4 linked regions of the Chlamydomonas reinhardtii genome follow. The main gene of each other region encodes a partner of the protein of the gene in region 3 in a complex. Links are inferred from orthologs where the notes say so. Each region holds a gene or a part of one and is shown on either strand. Other genes may lie near its edges.

Region 1 (4,927 bases), on a different chromosome or scaffold from region 3:
TATGCAGCTGCAGTTCTCCTTGCCGCGCGAATGTTTCCTTACGGGATTGGTTCAACGTTAACCCCCATCGCCTCACCCCAACCAGGACCTCATCGCACCCACCGCACCTTCCACCCAACGATCCCGCAACCCCCAAACCGGCTGCAGCTAACCCCAGCCCTTACTCTGATTCTGGTTTCCAACCAGCTGCTTCTGTAGCAACCTCCCTCCGCTCTTTCACCCATGGCCATGACACCTCCGCGCTCTCACCCGCATCCAGCAGGAACATGTCGTACAGGTAGTCGGGGCTGTCACCCAGCAGCCCCTGGTACTGGGCCAGCAGCAGCGGCTCCGCATACCGGTCCAGCTTGGGCCGCCCCTCAAACTCCGCCAGCTCCAGCACGTTGCGCAGCGGCGTGCCAGGCGCGGAAGCGCGTCGGGAGGAGGAGGTGGAAGCGGAGGAGGAGCCCTCGGGCGCGGGCTCGTGTGTGTAGGCGGGCGGCCGCAGCCCCAGCACCACCAGCAGCGCCTCAGCCTGGCGCGGTAGCACGAGGCACTCCTCGTACGGCAGGCCTGGGCGCGGGGCAGTCCGGCAGCGGGTGGGCGTTGGGGAGAGATGAGAGTGAGGAGGACGGACGGCGCGCAGGGCGCAGGAAAGGGTGACAAGGGTGCAGGAACGGGCTTCGCAGTAGTGGAGAGTAGAACGCTGCTGGCAGCACCTGATGGCGAGCAAGCGCAAGGGCGCAGACCCACTCACTCCGTATGGTAATGCTCTCCTCCTCTCCATCCTCCTGGGATGATGATTTCACGGCAGCTTTGCGTCTGGATACGCGCTTCTTGGGCGCCTGCAGTTCCCCATCAGGAGCCGCCGCCGCTTCCGGGCCCCCCTCTGCAACTGTCTCGGCTGCTACCTTAGTGCGACGCGTGCGCGTAACTTTTGGCTTTGCTGCAGCTGCGCTATCACCTCCAACCTCTGCTACTCCGGATGCTGAAGCAGCGGCCTCTTCGCCCGGCTCGGCAGCCTGCGCCTTGCGGCACGAGGCACGCTTCTTGGGCACAGCCGCTGCCGCCTCGGCGTCGTCCTCACTCGGCCCAGACGAGGGGTCCAGCCCTGCCTCAGTCGCGCTGTCAGTGGCAGCGGTCTTGCGGCTAGCCCGCTTCTTTGCCACTGGTACATCATCGCTGCTGCCGCTGGGCACGGCGGCGGCCGCGGAGGTTGCCCGGCGAGTGCGTTTGGGCTTGGGCGGCTCGCCGCTGGCACCGTCTACCGCTGGCAGGGCGCTGTCGCTATCAGCGGCAGACGAGGCAGCGGGGAAGCTGCGGAATCTGGGGATAGGTGCTATTGCAGACCACCTGTTGAAGGTCTGCAGCAGCGGCAGCGCCTGCCGCAACCGGAGGAGCATTGTGGAAGGTGACAGGACGCGAAGGGCGGGGCTGGCGCACGACGCTCCTCTTGATCGCTCGAGCGCCCGGCCCCTGCAGAGCCGCTCAAGGCGCGACAGTCTCTCCTAAAGCACGCGATAATTGTGGGGTTCGCGGCGTGTTCGGAGCAGGGAGAGAGCTTGGCGAGCTGTCGAGACGCGCGCTATGCAAGAAATCAGTTTCCCAGTGCGTGTATACAGCTTTACGTTCGTAGCTCATGCAGTATCGTTGCACTTCACAGACTAGAGAGTGGATTCTACCGCTTCGGAGCCCCATCATCGGCCATCGCAGCGTCGCATCCCAGGGTGAGCATCCACTTGTCTTGGTTTTCTTTTACGTTGACACTTCCTTTCTTTACATACCAGTTAAAATGTCTCTTATCGTGACTGGTGCTGATCGTTACTCGCCGGACAAGCTGCCACAGCTTGAGGCGTATGTTGATGAGCAGGTAGATCTGTATTTCTTAGCAGCCCGTTTAGTCCCCTGGCCCCTTGGTGCCAGCACGGCGACACATGCTCGGCGGCGGCAATTTGCGCTGAAAGCGTCCTGCACTGCTGCAGGTCGCGAACCGCTCATGGAGCCTGGATGCTAATGTTACGCTGCTGCGCTTCTACCAGTTCAGCCCGGCCAGCGTGAAGCCTGCCATTGTCGCTAAGGTGCTTATCAAGGCGATCATGCAGGCGCCCGCGCAGGACTACAAATGCTGCATCACGCTGCTTCCAGAGCGCCTGCTGCAGGTGTGCGAAGTGCAGTGGAATGGCGTTTAAAGCGTCAGGGCCTGGGGGAGGGGGTGGGTGGGGTGGGTTAGGGGCCGCACCGTGGGGTGCCGCCCAAGACACGCGGGGAATGCTGTGGCACCTTCATGGCTGTTTCCACACCTCTCCTGTTCCACTATTGCTCCATCCGTTGCACGAACCCTGCATTGCTGCAGTCTGACGAGTCGGTGTACAAGGTGGTGCAGCTCGCAAACGCGCTGGAGACCAGCCGCTTCGGCGACTTCTGGAACGCGGCCAACACCTGCCGCGACCTGCTGGGCGGCAGTAAGTGCAGCGCACGGGGACCTGGCTGGAGTGGGAGCCACTCAGCTAGGACGCAGGGGTTTTTAAAGGCAACGGATGCGGAATCAGAGGCAACAGAGGCGCCCCGATTGCCACACGTCACGAATGCCAATTAAACCAGCTCTATCTGCTGCTCTGCTGCAGTCCCCGGCTTCTACGAGTCGGTGCGCGGCTTCATCGCGCACACGCTGGTGCACACCTACGGCCGCGTGACCAAGCGCACGCTGGCGGACTGCCTAAAGCTGGAGGGCGCCACGCTGGAGCAGTACGTGAGTGATGCATTGCGCTTACGAGTTTCTTATGGGGGGGCGTGGTGGCGGCAGTGTCTCCGTGTGCGTTTACATGTGAATGGTGCGCAGTAAGCAGGGCTGGGTTGGGTAGAAAGGCGTTGAGGAGCGTCGCTTGAGGACGTGAGCGAAAGGGTTAAGCTGTGTGCATACGGCGGGGTGGGAGATTGTGACGCCGGCTTGAAGGTCCCTTCGCCAGTGCGCCTCATCAGCTAGCATCAGGGTAAAAACGCGCCTGCTGGCTGCTTGCTTCTGACCACAGCTGTCTGAAAAGTGCAAGTCGGCTGGCTGGAGCATTGTCAACACGCCCGCTGGCGAGGTGGTGGGGCTCCCCAAGAAGTGAGTACAGGCGCAGAATTCTGGACTGGCCTGCGGAGGGGGCGGGGTCTGCTGGCATTGCTAGGATGAGGGGCCGGGAAGCGGGGCACGCGGGCACACCGTGGGCGCACGCAGAGCTGAAACAGCTGATCGAACATGGTAACATGTTTGGTGCCTCCTGTGCCACATGGCATGATAGCGCCGCGACATCCCATGTCCACCTGCCCACCTCCAATCCTGCCGCACCTGTACTCTGGAAATGCACACCCCGCAAACAACCTCTCCTCCTCCATCAACACTCACCTACATATCGTGCTTATCTAGTATCAGATTGTCCTAAAAACTGGGGTTGTACCCCAAGTGCTACAAGCTCACGCCATTCATGGCCCTCCTGCCCTGTATTACGCCCGCGTTCTGCCCGCAGCGACGACAACCAGTCGGTCGTGAAGCGCACCCAGGAGCTCATCCGCTTCGACCAGGTGGCGCCCATGCTCAAGGCCGTGACCGTGGGCTTTTAAATCAACGCTACTACTGAAATTACTTGACGACACGACCATGACAGCATGACACACAACCATTACTGTCAGACTCTTCTAGGCATTAGATAGAAGACCGTTGGATCCCGGTATGCCCATCGGGTTGTAGACTTGAGTGCGTGAAGGGCATTCGTTGAGAAGCCGTGCCCCGCCTTGGGGCGGTCCGCACACGCATGCGAAGGCATCGCAGAAGGCGTTACTGTACTGACTTTGTTCGGCGGTATGGCACCCCATTACAAAGGAGGCTAGCTGGAATAGTACACGGCGCTTATGTAGCCAGCTGCTGGTGGCGTGTAGCGAGCTTAACGGGAGCCATCGCCTTGGCCAAGCCACGACAGCAGCCCCTTGACGGTGCTGCCTAGGTTCTCCGCAGCGGCGACGCTTGCACTGCGCGAGCCACCGCCGCTGCCCCCCGCGCCAGGGCCGCTGGCACCGCCAGACTCGCTGCCGCCTGTAGGAGCCGAGCCGCCGGTGCCGGGGCGCGGCGCGCCTGCGGACGGGATGTTGCTGCCGCTGCTTCGCTGCGGGCTGTTGTGCGCCGGCTGCCCAGTGACGCTGCGCCACAGGCGCTGCAGCTGGTCCAGCGGGCCGGGCGGCGGCCGCTTGGCGATGGATGCAGCGCGCTCGGCAATGTCGGCCTGTGTGAAGAGATGGGGTTAGAGGCGCTTAGCTTGGAGGCACCCACAGGAGTGCCAAGAGTGCGCAGTATGCATGCGCGTGTATTGTGTAACGTAGAATTTGTTTCGCGTCCTTTGCGCCGTTTGCTTGCTTGGCCCAGATATCGGTACTCTCTGATGCAGACACCTTCCGTACCCTGCCCACCTGCGATTGCGACATGTCCTGGTACGCGGTCGCGTGCGCCGCCGCGCTGGCCGCCCGCTCCTCCGCCTCCTTAGCCGCCTCGGACGCCTGGGCCACGCGCGCTTCCGCAGCCACAATAGCGCTCTCCGCCGCGCTCTCCAGGCCAGCCTGAAGTCACGGCACAAGGGAAAGCAAACGTCAGCTACCCGCCCAAAGCGCAAGTGCCCACATCAGCGTTCATACGCTCGTCAAACCACAGCCATTGCACACCTGCGCCGCCGTGGCTGCTGCCGCCGCCCGCTCTGCCGCCTCTGCCGCGCGCGACGCGGCGCTGCTGGCCGCCGCTGCGTAGGCTGCTGCGCGCTGCGACGCCTCACTGGCTGCCGCTGCGCCGCGCAGCGCCAGCTGCGCCCGCTCCTTCATGGCGCCCAGAGACGTGTCGTCGGGCGACAGGTGCGACAGGGCCGACGTGTCCGGCGCCCGGCTGAGGGGCTCGGGTCGCACGGGAGGAAACGACAACCGCGGC
Region 2 (5,130 bases), on a different chromosome or scaffold from region 3:
GGGGGGGTAGGAAACAAAGTGCCAGACCCCATGCCCCGAAATCCCCCGGGACCCCCCTTGAGGGGACGACCGACCCCCCGACGGACAAAACCTTGTTGTTCAGGGGTTAAAACCCCTCCATTTAATACCAAAGTAGTGTCAATCGACTCCTCTTGACGAGCACTACCACTCCGTGCCATCAGCGGTCCTGTTCTTGAGACTTCGGTCACGGGCGGGATCCTATCCATGGAAATCCCCTCGACCCAGACCACCCCGCGCTCAACTCTTTGCCTCGTGACGGTTGGACAATGTGCATCGGCAGCCTTGTTAGACGTGAACTCATGCGCATCAGCGCTTCAGAGCCCAGCTGTGTCAGTGCGCATGTGTTGAATGTGGAGACATGTCCCGACATGTCCACGTCCGGACGCGCAACTTAGCCCTCCCACGCTTGGTTTGTGCTTACTACGTCATAACGTACACATATGAGCCTCGCACTGCTGCGTTTGGCCCCTAGTTCTGCTTGTGGGGCGCTTCCCGAAATCCGCCAGGATGGGCTCCCGAAACCCGACGGACCCCCAGGGACGAGGACCGACCCCCCAACTTTGGCGGCCCAGAACTTCCTCACCAGACGCCCCCTTGAAAAACTAAAAGCACGTGCATAATGCTCTCCTTAAGCTCTGTAATTTTGAGCATGGGGTAAGAAATTGAGCTTTCTACCCCCCCCCTGATTTAAAGGCCGTTTGAAGTGTGGGGTGTGCCTGCGCGATTCTCACCCCTCCCCCCTTGGTTTAGTTCAGGCTAATACCTACAAATCCAATACAAGCAGAAATGGCGTCGGCGCATTGCTCAAAGCCGGCGGCTTTGCCTGCAATGACAGTTGCACTGTGGGGCTGCGCAGGCTGGCGAAGGAGCCGTCAGGGGTGCCACTGGGAGGCGCAGTCCCATGTTCCCGTATTAAGCCACGCACACCGACCTCCCATACCCACCCCACGCATCGCAGTCATGAACGGAGGGCACCACACTTAACATATCTGAGCACGAGAACGCGCGAAGATGCCGTTACGCTTACATACCGACAAGGCAGAGCCTGCCGCGTAGGGAATGTGGGCTGTCTTACTTGTACGTGCGCCCATGTTCGCCCTCGCGAGGAGAGTCAACCGTCACGGACCTTGCCGCGGGTTGCACACAGCGACACCTCACAACTTGCACTCCTGCAGTCCTCCTACAATGTCTGATCGTGTACTGGTTACGTCCACCCTCTTAGAGCAACAACACTCTGCACTCGTCATGTCTGCCTATGCGCCGCTAGCTGGCGCGCTCAAAACAGCGCAAGCTGTGTGTGCTTCAACGCGGCCATACCACAAACGCCCCACCCAATCCCATCCCGCCCTTTGTCCCTCAAACTGAGCACCTAATAACTAATGCCACTGGTAGGTGTGCTCGGTAGAGCAGTTGCACCAGACAGCGCCTTCCGCCTTCAAACCACTACAGTCCCACAGCACACACTACGCGCTTCATGTTTGGCCCCTGCAAGCACAGCCTCTGCGACAGCACCCATCATAAGCGGTGCCATCCTCCTGCATCCCGTGTCTGCATCCCGTGGTCATGGGTCTGTACAGCCGAGCCCGCAGCCCCAGCAAGCGCCTGCTCTTCCGCTCGCAGGTCCTCGAGCTTACAACCCCGCCTTCTGCATGCCCTCCATCAGGAACAGCTTTTGAATGGTCTCGCCCGCCGCCACGTTGACCTGGTCGCAGTAGGTGGCGATCTGGTTGGTCACCAGGTAGTTATCCAGCATGGATGGCTCGGGAATGGGCTTGAACAGATTTGGGTCCTCCTCCGGCAGCGGCTCCTGGTTGTCAGCCTGCCGCTGCTGGTTCTCCTGCCGCCGCTTGGCCAGCCACACCGCGTACGCCTGCTGCTGGCGCGCCACGTTCTTGTGGTACATGGTCACCTTCTGCTGCTCCGCCACAATGTCGTCCACGCACTCCAGCAACGACTGGATGTTGCGCTCCAGGAAGGGGGCCGAGGACAGGTTGAGTCGCTCCACGTCCGCCTGGGTCGCGGTGGGGGCGGGCATCAGGTCCGCCACCAGCGCCTGCACCAGGTTGCTGTTGCGGATGCGGATGGGCAGCTCCACGAAGATATCACGCCACGACAGGTTGGCCTCGCGAAAGCCCTTGAGCGTCAGCTTCTGCTCCTTGCTCAGCTCAATGAACGACTCCTTGAGGCGGATCGCCTTGAGCGCGATGCTGCCGCGCGATGAGCGCTGGGGGTCATAGATGATGCACACGCACTTTTTGATGTTCTCGTGGTAGTTGATGAACGTCTCTATGAGCTCCACGGTTTGGAAGGTGCCCATGTTGGCCGACTGGTACCTGTGGGGTGCGGCCCGGCAGGTGCACGGTTCGTAGGCAAGCGCATGGTGCGCAGTCGGGTCCAGCCCTGAAGATGCTCGGCGGCTGCTACCCCGAGGTTCTGCTTGCGGTACTGTCGCGGGTGGCTGATGGCCATGTCGCCCCCAGGCCAGTCTCGAGCCCCGCCAACGGCCGAACGGGCCTCGTGTCCGCAGGCAAGGACTCTGACAGGCGGTTCATACACGGTGGTTGCCGCAGCTAGCGTGCCGCTCATGTAGTGCGCACATGCCCTTGTCCGCTGATGTCCCGGCGGCTAGCATGAGTGCTACGGTACCGTCCCGCCTTGGGGCGCTTCCCAAGGGCGCTTCCCCACGTCAACTCCCCCTCCTCTGCTTTTGCACCTGACTCCTTCCCTCTCCTTTCCCCCGCGAGCTCGCGCATTGACTGCACCCACCAGCCGACGGTGTTGTTGTCCACGTTCACCTCACGCAGGCAGCGCATCATCTCCAGCTGGTAGTTGGCGCCGGCCGACTCTGCCTCGGAGTCATCGTCCGCCACGGTAGCCTGCACACACCCGGCCCACACCATCGCCGATCTTTATTGTGCATATGCATATGCTGATACACGCGACTTTCCCCTGCTATGCGTGCTCGACAACGCGAGCAATCTGGGGGCCGCCCAAAAGTCCGCTTGGCGCCCTCAGCGCCTGCTATCCTCAGCGCTCACCGGGAACGCGAAGCAGTCCGTCACCTCCAGCTGTTGACCAACATCCAGGCCCAGCAGCTGGCCGGTAACGTTCTGGGGCAGCGCCTCAGTGCAATGCTGGATAATCTTCAGCAGCACCTGACCCTCAAGCTGCACCGTCTTCACGAGCTCCTTATGCGGCTTAGGAGCGATGGCCTCCATTTTTCAGCGCCTCTGCAATAAACCAGCGGCCTAAGTCGGCGGCGCCGTGCCTATAAGCAAAGCCTGTTTTTCAAAAGCTAAACACAAGAGTAAACGATACGACTACACGATGTCTACAGTGATCAGGGTGTGTTTGGCTGCAATGCGGGGCCCGATCGCACTTCCATTTGCAATGCAATTTCTCTCAGACCTGAAATGTCAGTTTGCTGCTGTACTTTTCGCGCTTGTACCTTCGTGCTTATGCTGAACAACAACGAGTAGCATCACCTGTGTTTCGAACTAGGATCGTCGCAACAGTCGCCAAAAGCTTGCGCGTTGACGAGGGCGGCTAGGCCTCAAAGTATACTTGGCAGTATGGCGCGCTTGCGCGCGAGCTTGCTGATGGCAGCGCTGCTCGGAAGCGCTGTAGCCCTCGTAGCATCGGAGCGAGTCTTGCTGGGCAGCGACCATAAATTCAAGCCCGGAAGTGACATCATGCTGTATGCAAACAAAGTCGGACCCTTTCAAAACCCGACGTGAGTAGTTTTGCTGCAGCCAGCGGTGCCAGCTCGCGCGCCAACGCGGCGCGATTTTCGCTCCTTGCCTTGCAGGGAAACGTACCAGTATTACAACTTGCCGTTCTGCCAGCCCACTGACGGCAAGGAGTATAAGACGGAATTCCTAGGCGAGGTGCTTGAGGGCGACCGGTTGGTGACAACTCCCTACAAGCTGCAGTTCCGCACCGATGTTGAGAACGCGGTGCTCTGCAAACGCACGCTCACTGCTGGTGACTTAAAGAAGTTCAGGGATGCCGTGAAGCAGGACTACTACTTCCAGGTGCGGCGGGTTGACACGACTGGGACCAGCGGGTGTGCGGGCGCGTGTACCCCAGGACGTGTCCGTCCCGGCCCGGTGCACGCTGCCAGCAACTCCCGGCCTGTACTCGTCGCTGACACCCCATGCGCCGGTCAACACCTCTATTGCGTGTTTGCCCTCATTCGCAGTTTGCCCGCATGTTGGGTTACCGTGTGCATGTTGGGCCTTGCCACCCTGCACACCTGCCCCGCAACCTGTCGCACATACCAGAAGAGGATAGTTCCTGGTGCGCGCCAAAGCACAACAGCGGCTTGACCCGTCATATGCCCCGTCTACCCCAAGAAGTTGCCTTTAGGTTCTCTTTGCGTGCTCCTGTGCGTGCTCCTGTGCGTGCTCCTGTTGAGCGTCGCTTAGGTACTTATCTCTGACCCCGCGGCTCTGACCCCAGATGTTTTACGACGACCTGCCTGTGTGGGGCTTCATCGGCAAGGTGGAGAAGATTGTGCAGCAGGGTACGCACAAGTACTTCCTCTTTACCCACTTCCACTTCGACCTGTCCTACAACGACGACCGTATCATCGAGATCAACGTGTCCAGCGACCCCATGCGCACAGTGGACATCACGACCGCAGACACGCTGGACGTGCAGTTCTCCTATTCGGTCAAATGGAAGCAGTCGTCAGTCACCTTTGACCACCGCATGGACCGCTACGCCCGCTACTCGTTCCTGCCTCAGCATCTTGAGGTTAGTTCAAGCGTGGGGCGGAGTATGTGTTGGGCATGCGCTGCATTGGGGACTCCGTTCAGCGGGCGGAGTGCACTCAATGCATCTGCATGCCGCACAAGCAAAACGCAGTAGCTGATGTTGGGGAGCCACATGAACTGGATGGACAGAGTTTGCTGAGCGAGTTTCAGTGCTGGCGGTACAAGCATTCAGTGCCGAACATTGAACTCCAACGGACGCTGACGCTGCGTCCTCCCCGTCCTTACAGATCCACTGGTTCTCCATCATCAACTCGTGCGTGACGGTGCTGCTGCTGACCGGCTTTCTTGCCACCATCCTGCTCCGCGTGCTGAAGAACGATTTCATGAAGTA
Region 3 (5,142 bases):
GAACAGGCTGGCGTTCAGCTGCGCCAGGACCTGGGGACGTAGGGGGAGGGGAGCGGGTGGGGAGCGGAGCGGGCAGGGGGTGGTTGGGTGAGTGGGGCGGGGTAGGTAAGTAGCATAATAGGGGGGAGGGAGCGGATGGTGGCAGTGGCAGGAGTCGTTTATGCAAGGCGGCGCCCTGCTTTCCAACCCACCCCCCTGCCACCCCTCAAAGCGCCACGCCTTGCAACTGGGCCCCATTAAAACCACATAACAAACAAACGGCAACCACATGCCCTCCTCCCTCCACTCCTCCCATTCGCTTTCACCACCCTCACCTCGAACTTCTGCGCCGCGCCGCGCGCCACGGTGGCCAGGTAGGTCAGCATCTCCACCGCCTCCTGCTTGTCGGTGCCGCGGCGGCCCCTGAGGTGGGGTAGGAACAAGGTGCGTGCGTTGGTGTGTGTGTGGGGTTACATTCATGATTAGTTAAGGAAGTGGGGGGATGTGGCGGGGATGTGTGACGAGTGCGTGATGAGTGCCACGGGTGCCCGCTGTGAACAGGCCGGTACGTCAGCACAGCCGGAACCAGCGCCGCGCCGCCCAGACCGCCGCGAGAAAGCCACGGCACACGCGCCAGCGACGCTGCCAGCCGCCGACCGCGCTTCGACTGCTGCAACTGCTACTGCTATCCCTGCTGCTGATGTTACTGCTGCTGCAGGGAACGTGTCCGCAACAGCTGCCGCCGCCCCCCTCTGTCACTGCCAGCACTGCCAGCAACGCTGCAGCCGGCAGTCGCCGCTGCCGCGACGCCGCCGCGACGCCGCCGCGACGCCGCCGCGTGCCGAGCCGCGCGCCAGGGGAGCCGCCCGCCTCCTCCATAAATGCCCGCCCCCCTCTTCCCGCTGGACCGACGGACTGTGCGGCGGGAGCGGCCGGGCCTGCCCCGCCCCCCTGCAGCTGCGCCTGGCTCCTTGTCCAGTGCGTCCACTGCTACTCCAGCGCCGCCATGCAGTGCCCCTGCCTGTCTGCTGCTGCTGTGGCGGCGGCTGCGGAGGCGGCGGCGCTGCAGGCGGCGGCTTGCAGTCCAGCACCTCCCTCCCTTCCTCCCGGCACTGTAGGTGGAGGCGCCGCCGCAGCCGCTGTGGCGGAGGGCCAGGCCGTAGCAGCAACAGCTGCTGCTGCACCGTAGCGCACCTTGCCGCGCAGGCGGGCATGCCAGCGCGCCAGCCCACGCCAAGCCATACGCCGCCGTGCCAGCCGCGCCACTGCCGCCGCTGGTGCGCCCGGTGCTCTCCCGCCCCCCAAGTCCCTCCTGCCGCCAGCGCGGCGCCGCCCGCCGCTGCCTGGCAGCGGCGCCGCCACAGCCGCAGCACACAGCCACGGTGGCAATCGGGCGCCTCCGTAACCCCCAGCCATAACCCCTGGCCAAAGCCCCCTCCGCGAGCCGCGTCGCAGTAGAGCCCGCCCTCAGCTTGCAGTCACACAATGCGGCAATACCGTCGCTGCTGTTGCTGCTGCTGCTGCTGGCGCCATTGCTGCCGTTGCTGCTGCCGCTGCCGCTGACGCAGCTCCCGCTGCCGCTGCTGCTGTGCAAGCGGGTAGCTCTCCGCGCTCCTTCGCCGTCAGCTGATGGGATCCCAGCGTTGCCACCAATCTCGGAGCTCCACGTCTCTGCCAGCCCGTACGTGCCGCCGTTCCCCGTCCCGCCTACGCCCTCCCCCTCCTCCGCCCAGCCCGCCCTCCCCCGTCCGCCTCCTCTACCTGGCCATGACGATCTCCCTCATCTTGCGCGCCACCATCTCGTAGGTGATCTCCTTGGGGTCCATGGTCAGCAGCTTGTCCTTGGCCTTGGCGGCCAGGGCGCCCTATTGTTATGGAAGGCCAGGGTTGCGTATGGAGGGGGAGCGCGTGGGGGTTAGCAGTAGCGGGGGGAAGGGTTCCAGGCATATGGTTAGTCAGACGATGGCAGTGACGAACAGAGTAGCAGTTGGCAGCACATGTCCAGGCAGACACACGGTACACGAAACACAAATGCAAGCGCACCTGCTTGCGCTCCTCGGCGTCGCGCTCGTCGTCGCTGCCGCTCTCGCTGCTGCTGCTGTCCGCCTCCGACACCTCGTCCTCCTCGTCGGGGTTCTCGCGGACCTGTGGCATGCGCAGGCGTTTCGCAGCATTTAATGGGGTGTTGCAGAGTCTGAGGCACGCATCCTCCTCCCGCACACGGTGGCCCGGACCCCCGCAGCCCGCTGCCGCTCTGCGTGCGCTTCCCCCCTATCTTTCCATTGCTGACCCCCGGCCGACCTTGTTGAGCTGCTCCAGCAGGGGCGTGTTGTGCTTCTTCAGGCGCTGCTTCATGGTGTTCAGCGCCTTCGCGTTCGTGGACGACATCTTCTTCTTCACCAGCTCCTTGTTCGCCAGAGTATCATTCAGGTAATCCTCCAGGTCAACCAGCAGCTTCAGGTACACGCGCGGCAGCATCGGCCCAGACAGGAACTTGCGCGTCTTGTCAAGGCGCGCGTTCAGCGTGTCGAACAGCTCCTGGATAGCGCTCCAGTCGTTGATCTTCATCTTGTTCTGTAAATACACAATAGGAATGCAGCCGCAGCGTGATAGACGCTCAGAACGCCGGTTTTCGCGCAAAAAAGCCTTGCCGCATCTCTCCCGCCACACCGTCGATCGTTCCCCGGCGCCCCGTGGCCACCCCATCGCTCTGCACATTTCCAGTCGAAGCTCCAGGCCTCACCCGGATGTCCTCAGCGGTTTGCGCGAGCTCGCCCATGCGCTTGTCCTTCTCGCTCTTCACCACGCGGCGATCATTGTCCGAATCCGAGTCGCTGGACCCAGCCAAGAACCTGAAATCATAGCATAAACACAAAAACGGTGAGCGCTGGGCGATGCACGCGCAGGGCACCTCGGCGGCTGCGATGTGCTCACTTGTTGGGCCCGTCGTCGTCGGAGTCGGAGTCCGAGTCCGAGTCGGAGTCAGAGTCCGAGTCGCTGTCAGAGTCCGACGAGGAGCTGTCGCCGGAGGAGGAGCTCTTGCCCTCCTCCTCGCTGCTCTCCTCCTCAGTGGTCTCCTCCTCCTCATCCTCGCTCTCGCCGCGGCCCCAGAACTTAGACTGCAGAGAAAAAGAAACTCCAGATCAGCAAAAGGCAGCGCCGAGGGGAAGAGCGAAACGTCCTACCATTTTTCGATCTAGTCGGCGGCGCGAAAAGAGACTGTTGTGATAAATGCAAGTGCGGACTTTGCCGCAAATGTATCCTAACAAGTAGGAAAGGACGGGTGCCGGTTCAGGGGAAGCGGCTTCTGGTGGAGGGGCTGCGATGCAGCGCGCGCGGAATGATGGTCTGTCTGCTCCCTGAGCCCTGGGCTGCTACAGACTGCACAGAAACCACTGCTAGTTAATTCAATTATGTGCGTGTTAAATGCACCAAGGTCGTCCTGGCACGGTGGCACGCCTCCCCTGCGCCTGCCCGGTGGCAACCTCCATCGCCCCCACCACACCCCTGCCACCCTCAGCACAGTAAGCAGCGCGAGGACGACACTCCACTGCAGCTGCTGTTATCTTCGCTCTCCGCTGCACCTCGCAGCCCGCCAGCCCGGCTGGGCGTTCGGCTGCGCGTTCGGCTGCCTTCGCCGCTGCCTTCGCCGCGTGCGTTGGCCCCAGGTCTGACTTCATCATCTGCTGCGCTGTGGCCCACTGCGGCGCGACTCGTTGTTCTGCGAGCGCTGCCGCCAGCATTCCTATGCCCCGGCCGTGCTACTTATGCTTGCACCACCTTCGTCATTTCCTCCCGTCGCAACAGCGCCGCCTGCAGGAGGAACAGCGAGGCTGCGAGGAACAGCGAGGAAGGCCTGCTGTGTCCGCCCACCCGCCACTGCTGGTGACCCGATGTGGGGGTCCCTACAATCCCCGGCCCAGGGACCCCGAACGCCGAGGGCTCCAAGCGTCGCCCCATACAACCACGAGGCCACGAGGCTAAAAGGGCGCCCCCCCCCCTGCACACGGTGCGTGGCTCTCTGTCAAGAAGGAAGAGGCACGAGCAGTGCAGGGCAGCGGGCGTGGCAGCGGCGGCGGCGATGACGACAGGTCTCTCGGGGCAGTGACATGCCTGGATTTGGTACTTCGTACCGCATTACGCAATACGCATGTACTCATGTTGCCGGCTTCCGGCGTGCCGCAATCACGGAAAGCACACAGCGCCCACACACCACTGACAGCACCTCTCTGGACTGCCCAGCCGACCCGCCGTCAGCTGCCCCGCCCCCTGAGGCTCCTCAGCTCCTGCCTTTGCCACGTGTTCTCTTGTTGCTTTGTCCTCATGCCTCATGAGCACAGCCCCCTTCCCCTCCGTCCAGAAGCCACCACACAAACGCTGCCATGGGTACCGTGCCCTCCAATCCCAGCCTCCTGCGTCGTCACTCCACGCCCGCCGCCGCCAACACCAACCGTGTCACCGCCCCCACATCCAGACGGCTCGCCACCGCCACCAGCGCCCCTTCCTCCCCCTCCCTCCTCACTGCCCCGGCTGCTTCCCCTCTCCGACCGCCGCCCACGCTAGCCGCCGCCGTTGATGCGGCCGCTGCCGCCGCCTCCGCCACCGCCACCGCCACCGCCACCGGCCCCGCCACCGCCACCGCCACCGCCACCGGCCCCGCCACCGCCACCGGCCCCGCCACCGCCACCGGCCGCAGCAGGCTCATGCCCCGCCGCTCGCCTGTGGGAGTGTGGGTGTGTGACCAGGGCAGGAGCGCGTTGAGCCGGACAGACAGTAACTACTGACGTGGATTCGCAGTTGGGCACACAACCGTTCAGGTCTTTGAGCCACAACCCGCAGCAGGCATGCGCGTGTTGCCCTCCATTGTGCTCTTTTCGCCCGGTCCATCAAGCTGATAACTGTCAGGCGCACCTTGCAGAACAACGCTGCACCGCGCCGGCCGCCACTCCAGCACCACAGCCGACGCCGTGGGACCCGCCGCCGCCGCCGCCGCCTCGTCGCCGGCATCAACCCCAGCACCCCCGCGGCTCCGCACCGCCCCCTGCCCTGGCCCATCGCACCCGACCCCGGCGGCCTCTGGTGCGCCCAGCTCCGGCCCCGTCCCGAACTCAAACCCGGTATCCTCCGGCCCGCCCAGCCGCGGCGCGACCAGCTCCGGCCCCG
Region 4 (5,114 bases), on a different chromosome or scaffold from region 3:
AGTTAGGCGGCGACACAGTCTCAGACCGCACCGGCAAGTAATGCCCACCACCGCCGGCACCGCGCATAACCGCATATGAATGCAGGAGCAGACCGACACAGACAATGCCAGTCCTCATGTAACAACGTGTCGCAGCACAAACGGGCGCTGGCCCCAGCCCCGGCGGCAACGAACCAAAACCGGGCGCAGCACCTGCCTTGCATCACATGCCTCACTCCACTGCACTAGTGCATCTAGCCTGCTACAGTTTTGCAGAGGCTACTCTTGCCTCTATGGTGATGCCATCATACGCACATAATCCAGTTCTACCCGCTAGATACCCCATTCGTCTCATCCATGTCTACCCGCTAACACCCGAATTGCAAGAAAGCGAAAATGCCTGCCTGCGCTTGCGAAATTCTGTCCCGACCCCTATTCCCCCGAATGGTCCTCTTAGGTCTAGCCCGAATCCTACGTAGTTTCAGTCTCGTTGGCACAGCGTTCACACCTACATCCACAGCCCGTGTGCGGACTGCCGCACTGCCACACTGCCTGCATACACGAGAACCTATCTGCTCCTCACTACGCCAACGCCGATTGCCCCCACGCCGGTCCACGCTCAGGCTTATCCAAAGCATGTGCCCGTCCAGGTACACTCTGCAGCCACCAGCAGCGGGCAATGCCGACCCTAGCCCCAGGAAATCCATTGCCTGCAGCGCACCAGCCCGACGGGAACGCGAATGCACCGCCTCCCTAGCACGAGACAGCCCATCCAATGAGCTCACCCGAACAAGCGTTGCCGAGTCCGTGCCAGCCGCGGCTGCACAGCCCCCCGGCACGCGCTGCTGCTGGCGCGCGCGAACACACTGCCAAGGGGGCGACCCCCCCGTCTCACGTCGCTGAACAAGCATGCCCTTGCGCCCCGCCCATGGGATAATCGTGCAGCTGCTGCAAATTCCAGCCGCCGCGCTCCTACCGCCCTTCACTGTATTGCAAAGCCGCTGTCGCCCGTCTACGTCACTGCTCATCTCATCAGCACCTTCGAACGCCGCTCGCCAGCGCTGTCCCACACCCGCTGCCGCGCCCTCCGCCCAGCGCTCCTGGTCTGATCCGTGCAGCAGCCGTCGCCAGCGCTCCCACGCTTGCTGCTGTAGAAAGCTGCCCATCCCGCAACGGAATCCCGTAACTCAAAGCTCGCTGCTGTCGTGAATCGCCTGCCGAAGCGGCAGACCGCGCCCTGCACACCGCTGTCGTCCACAAGCAAGCCCGCAATCTACAAGGCAAAAGGGAATGATGGATGGCGATCAGAGCTTGAGGTAAAGTGATTCCTCGTCACGTCAACCTTTCGAACCTCTTCGCAGTTCCCAGGGCTTCTTCCGTATCAACCGGCGAATTGTTGCACGTCCGTTACCAGGCCGCGGGTCCCCTTCCTTGCCATGCCGCGTGCGGAGCACCGCTGGAACTGGGCCTAGCAGCCGTCTGCCCAATGCAATTGCTACCCCATCTACCAATCCCTTAGGAATCCAGCACTCTTCACCTCCAGAGCTTGCCTTTCTATTCCACCCCATTCCCGCCAATACCAAGCCCCAGACGACCCCCTGGCCCACATGCATCCCCGCGCCCCCGCCAACCCCATCCCGCCCGCCGCCATGGCTCCAACTCCCACCTGCTTGCTGCTCCTCCTCCCCCGGCTGCTGCTCGCCGCGGTGCCTTACGGCTTGACGCTGCCCACCACGGTGTTGGCCAGCACGTAGGTGCGCACGGACAGCATCTTGGCCTTGTCCACCAGCTGCTCGTGCACGGACTGCGACTGCGTGCCCATCACCACCGTCCCCGACTTGGAGTCAATCTTGGCGTTCAGCTTGGCGTTGAGGATGAGGTTGGCAATCCACTTCTCCGCCGCCTCCTGGTCCATGCCCAGCCGCTCCGCCAGCAGCGCAATGGAGATGGACTGGTGTATCCGGCAGTACGTCTCGAAGATGAACAGGCGCGCGTTCTCAATGAACTCGTCCTTGTAGGCCGCCAGGAAGAAATCGTTGTCCAGCACCGCCTCGCACTCCTTCAGCTTCTGCTGGGCGCCGTCGAAGTCGTAGTGCACGAACACGCACTCCAGGAACTGGGTCACTGGGTCCGAGTACTCGTACGACTCCTGCTGGATGGCGCGGATGAGCTCCTTCAGCACGCTGCGCTGCTTCTTCTTGTTGATGACCACAGCCACCGCCACGTAGCGCAGCAGGTGCGGCGCGTTGATCTGGATGGCGGAGATGTAGGCTGGGGAGAGGAACAGGTCAATGATGTCGTTGCGGCCGTTCTCATGGTTCCAGAAGACGTACAGGGACCAGTGCAGCAGCCAGGTGCGCTGCTGCAGCTGCACCAGCGGGGGGGCGAACGTCTGGTTGTCGATGACCTCCTTCAGCTTGAACACGTCCTCCCGTGCCTCCTGGATGTTCACCGCCTCGTGCATGAGGATCTCCGCAGCGAGCTTGCCCCACAGTGCGCTGATGTTGCGCTCGCTGTTGGTGCAGAGCGTGCGGTAAGACTGCAGCAGCTCCGCCGCCAGCGAGTAGTTACCGCAGTTGAACTGGAAGCGCGCGTACTGATACAGCGCCTCGACGTGCTCCGCGCCAATCTGGAACTCCTCCTGGAGGAACTGCAGGTTGAAGCTCTTATCCTGACGGAACTTCTCCACCACATGCCTGTTCTGCAGACACTTGATAATGGGGTCCACGTCCGCCTGCAGCTGGCGAAGACGCGCCACCACCTGGCTGCGGCGGTCCTTCATCTCCGCAGGCACCTCGTCCACGCCGTTTAGGCCCTTGTAGATATCCATCGCAAAATCCACCTACAACATCGAATTTTTCGCTCAGCGACCCGGACTCAAACTGGAAAGGCCGATGGCCTCTGCACTCGCTGAGCTGCCCTTCCCGCTTCCGGCATCCCCAGCCTGTCCAATAGCTCATTCCAAGTGCCAGGTCTCCAGATCTAAACACTAAGCGCGTACCATGTTCGTCTTGTCCAGCAGCGCCAGCTTGGCGCGCAGGATGTCGTCCTCATTGTAAAGGCCGCGCTCTTGGAGGTATTCCATAATAGGCAGCGTAAGGTGCAGGTCCAGATACTGGACCAGCTTGGAAGAAAGCTCATAGTTGGTGGCAGCCATCTTTCTCTCGGCGGCGGCTACGCCCCTTGCCTAGTCCTAAGGCCTGACCAGTCCGCTGTGAAACAATTATGGGGTGGGGGCTGCGGGAATGACAAAGGAACGGGCGATCTACGCCCCGGTGCGCAGCCCGCTCTCGCGCTGTGCCGGATGGGGGTCCGAGTGCCCATCGGCCTGGCCCGCTCAAAACGGGCTTTCGGACTCCGAACTAATACATAAGAGGTTAGGTGTATGTATAGATAGGGCATCGGCACATTTCCCTTTCTCTGTAGGGAAATGACGTGATCTCTATCGCCACACTCTTGCGTTTCTCTGCGCTTGCCTACGCGACTCTGGTGAGGGTTGCGGGAGCCCAGAAACAGCGCAGCCAATCACGAGACAATGGCGGCTCCGTCGGCGGTGGTCCTGCCGCCCTCCCCCAACTGGTAGGCGGAGTCGGGAGTCGGGAGCCAGCGTCCGTGCTTTGCCCACGCCGTTCGCTGCTCCTGTACTCTTGATGCGTTTTGCAAGTGGTGCAAGGGCTAGAGTGTCAGGCCTGTTCAAGCCAGTGCGCCCACGGGCCGCAAACCCGCATTCCGGAAGCAGGGGCCGGGGTCACAGCCGCACGCACTGTCAACCGCCGATTGCGCCGCGCTATGCCACATAGCTCGTAGCCCCTACATGTCAGACCACATCACACCCATTGGTAAGGTCACTGATGCGCCTCACATGCCCACAGGTTCAGCAGCCAGGTGGTGGCGGTGCTGCCGAGCCAGCAGCTGGTGGCGTATGGCGGCCACTACGCGGTGGTGGTGGCCTGCGCGCAGAGCCGCACCGTGCAGCGCATGCTGCCCACGGGCGGGAGCAGGTGCGCACAGCCTTGGGTTGCAAGGTAGTGGGTGGGCAGCGGGTGGGTCGGGATGATTGCGGGCAGCACATGCAATTTGCTGCCTGCGCTCGGCCTGCGTGTTGCTGAAGCCGCGACGCGGCCTTCGCACACATCTGGTGGCGCATGTCCTCACGTGCCAGCAACGTCCTGGCCCTGGCATAGCGAACAGCCACTGTAGTGGAACCCCAACATGCCGCTCAGGACTTGCTCGCAAGCGTGTCCCTGCCGCGGGCCTGTCGTGCAGAGTGACATGTGTGGCGTTGCCGCCTGAGAGCGTCGGTGGTCGCCCGCTGGTGGCGGCGGGCTGCGAAGATGGTTCGCTGAGGTGCTGGGACATGGTCAGCGGGGAGCCGGTGCGCACCCACCGCAAGGGCAAGGCGCCCGAGGTCACAGCGCTGGTGGCTTTGCCCAGGTGGGGCTCATGTCGGTTCGGACACTCGCAGGGTTACGGGGGCTTGCGGTACGGTAACCTTGATGGCCAAGGACTGGTATAGGGGGGCAGTCTGCACTCTGGAGTTTCCGAGGTGGTATGCTCAAGCGTTGGTAGGTATCGCGTGAATGTCCTGTGGTCACCCGGCCCCAACACGGCTCCATTGCCCACACCCTTCCAATGCCGTAGCTCGCCGGTGCTGCAGTTTGTGGCGGGCGATGCCTCCGGCGGCCTGGTGCTGTGGGTGCCCGAGACCGGCGTCCGCAAGCCGCTTACGCGCGCGGGCTCCACGGCGCCACTTCTGCCCAGCCGCGTCCAGTGCCTGGTCGCCGTCAACGTCACCGGCCCCGCCGCCGGGGCCAGCGGCCGCGTGATTGCAGGGCTGGCCGATGGCAGCATCGTGTTGGTGGACGTGGCGTCGGCGTCGGTGCTGCTGACGCTGCCGGCGGCCCACCGCGGTGGTGTGCACAGCCTGCAGCTGGCCGGCCTACCGCTCGTCACCACCGCCGGTGGCGGCGGCAGCAGCAGCGCACCGGCGCCGGGGGCGGTAGAGGAAGCACGAGCGGCACCCACGCCTGGCAGCGCGGCCGGGGAGGACGCGGCCGGTGAGCCGGCAGCGGCTCCAGCTGCTGTTGCTGCTGCGCCCGACCTGTGGATTCTCAGTAGCGGAGAGGACTGCCAGG

What was found.
Region 1: CHLRE_04g217550v5 (region 3) and CHLRE_12g515650v5 share a complex: the UniProt entries of both Arabidopsis thaliana proteins name them as parts of the eukaryotic translation initiation factor 3 (eIF-3) complex. The link is inferred for Chlamydomonas reinhardtii from reciprocal best matches to the Arabidopsis thaliana genes EIF3C and EIF3K.
Region 2: CHLRE_04g217550v5 (region 3) and CHLRE_16g676314v5 share a complex: the UniProt entries of both Arabidopsis thaliana proteins name them as parts of the eukaryotic translation initiation factor 3 (eIF-3) complex. The link is inferred for Chlamydomonas reinhardtii from reciprocal best matches to the Arabidopsis thaliana genes EIF3C and TIF3H1.
Region 4: CHLRE_04g217550v5 (region 3) and CHLRE_12g498100v5 share a complex: the UniProt entries of both Arabidopsis thaliana proteins name them as parts of the eukaryotic translation initiation factor 3 (eIF-3) complex. The link is inferred for Chlamydomonas reinhardtii from reciprocal best matches to the Arabidopsis thaliana genes EIF3C and EIF3E.

What each region holds. Positions count from the first base shown.
Region 1 is NC_057015.1:3,874,859-3,879,785, reverse strand, and holds CHLRE_12g515650v5 (uncharacterized protein), read left to right. Parts: upstream 1-1,743; 5' UTR 1,744-1,771; coding exon 1,772-1,849; intron 1,850-1,961; coding exon 1,962-2,138; intron 2,139-2,332; coding exon 2,333-2,441; intron 2,442-2,603; coding exon 2,604-2,728; intron 2,729-3,008; coding exon 3,009-3,085; intron 3,086-3,488; coding exon 3,489-3,582; 3' UTR 3,583-4,238; downstream 4,239-4,927. Other genes in the region: CHLRE_12g515700v5 (uncharacterized protein), read right to left, coding at 250-552, 737-1,382; CHLRE_12g515600v5 (uncharacterized protein), read right to left, coding at 4,267-4,350, 4,423-4,569, 4,672-4,927. UniProt on the Arabidopsis thaliana protein: Component of the eukaryotic translation initiation factor 3 (eIF-3) complex, which is involved in protein synthesis of a specialized repertoire of mRNAs and, together with other initiation factors, stimulates binding of mRNA and methionyl-tRNAi to the 40S ribosome.
Region 2 is NC_057019.1:3,507,020-3,512,149, reverse strand, and holds CHLRE_16g676314v5 (uncharacterized protein), read right to left. Parts: upstream 3,336-5,130; 5' UTR 3,240-3,335; coding exon 3,060-3,239; intron 2,898-3,059; coding exon 2,788-2,897; intron 2,355-2,787; coding exon 1,652-2,354; 3' UTR 1,033-1,651; downstream 1-1,032. Other genes in the region: CHLRE_16g675958v5 (uncharacterized protein), read left to right, coding at 3,714-3,754, 3,830-4,055, 4,483-4,779, 5,027-5,130. UniProt on the Arabidopsis thaliana protein: Component of the eukaryotic translation initiation factor 3 (eIF-3) complex, which is involved in protein synthesis of a specialized repertoire of mRNAs and, together with other initiation factors, stimulates binding of mRNA and methionyl-tRNAi to the 40S ribosome.
Region 3 is NC_057007.1:243,373-248,514, reverse strand, and holds the start of CHLRE_04g217550v5 (uncharacterized protein), read right to left. Parts: upstream 3,365-5,142; 5' UTR 3,168-3,364; coding exon 3,165-3,167; intron 3,099-3,164; coding exon 2,914-3,098; intron 2,832-2,913; coding exon 2,723-2,831; intron 2,554-2,722; coding exon 2,281-2,553; intron 2,125-2,280; coding exon 2,023-2,124; intron 1,845-2,022; coding exon 1,741-1,844; intron 403-1,740; coding exon 315-402; intron 31-314; coding exon 1-30. Other genes in the region: CHLRE_04g217500v5 (uncharacterized protein), read right to left, coding at 4,400-4,698, 4,891-5,142. UniProt on the Arabidopsis thaliana protein: Component of the eukaryotic translation initiation factor 3 (eIF-3) complex, which is involved in protein synthesis of a specialized repertoire of mRNAs and, together with other initiation factors, stimulates binding of mRNA and methionyl-tRNAi to the 40S ribosome.
Region 4 is NC_057015.1:3,278,118-3,283,231, reverse strand, and holds CHLRE_12g498100v5 (uncharacterized protein), read right to left. Parts: upstream 3,214-5,114; 5' UTR 3,137-3,213; coding exon 2,981-3,136; intron 2,822-2,980; coding exon 1,691-2,821; 3' UTR 112-1,690; downstream 1-111. Other genes in the region: CHLRE_12g498150v5 (uncharacterized protein), read left to right, coding at 3,515-3,558, 3,852-3,980, 4,246-4,413, 4,621-5,114. UniProt on the Arabidopsis thaliana protein: Component of the eukaryotic translation initiation factor 3 (eIF-3) complex, which is involved in protein synthesis of a specialized repertoire of mRNAs and, together with other initiation factors, stimulates binding of mRNA and methionyl-tRNAi to the 40S ribosome.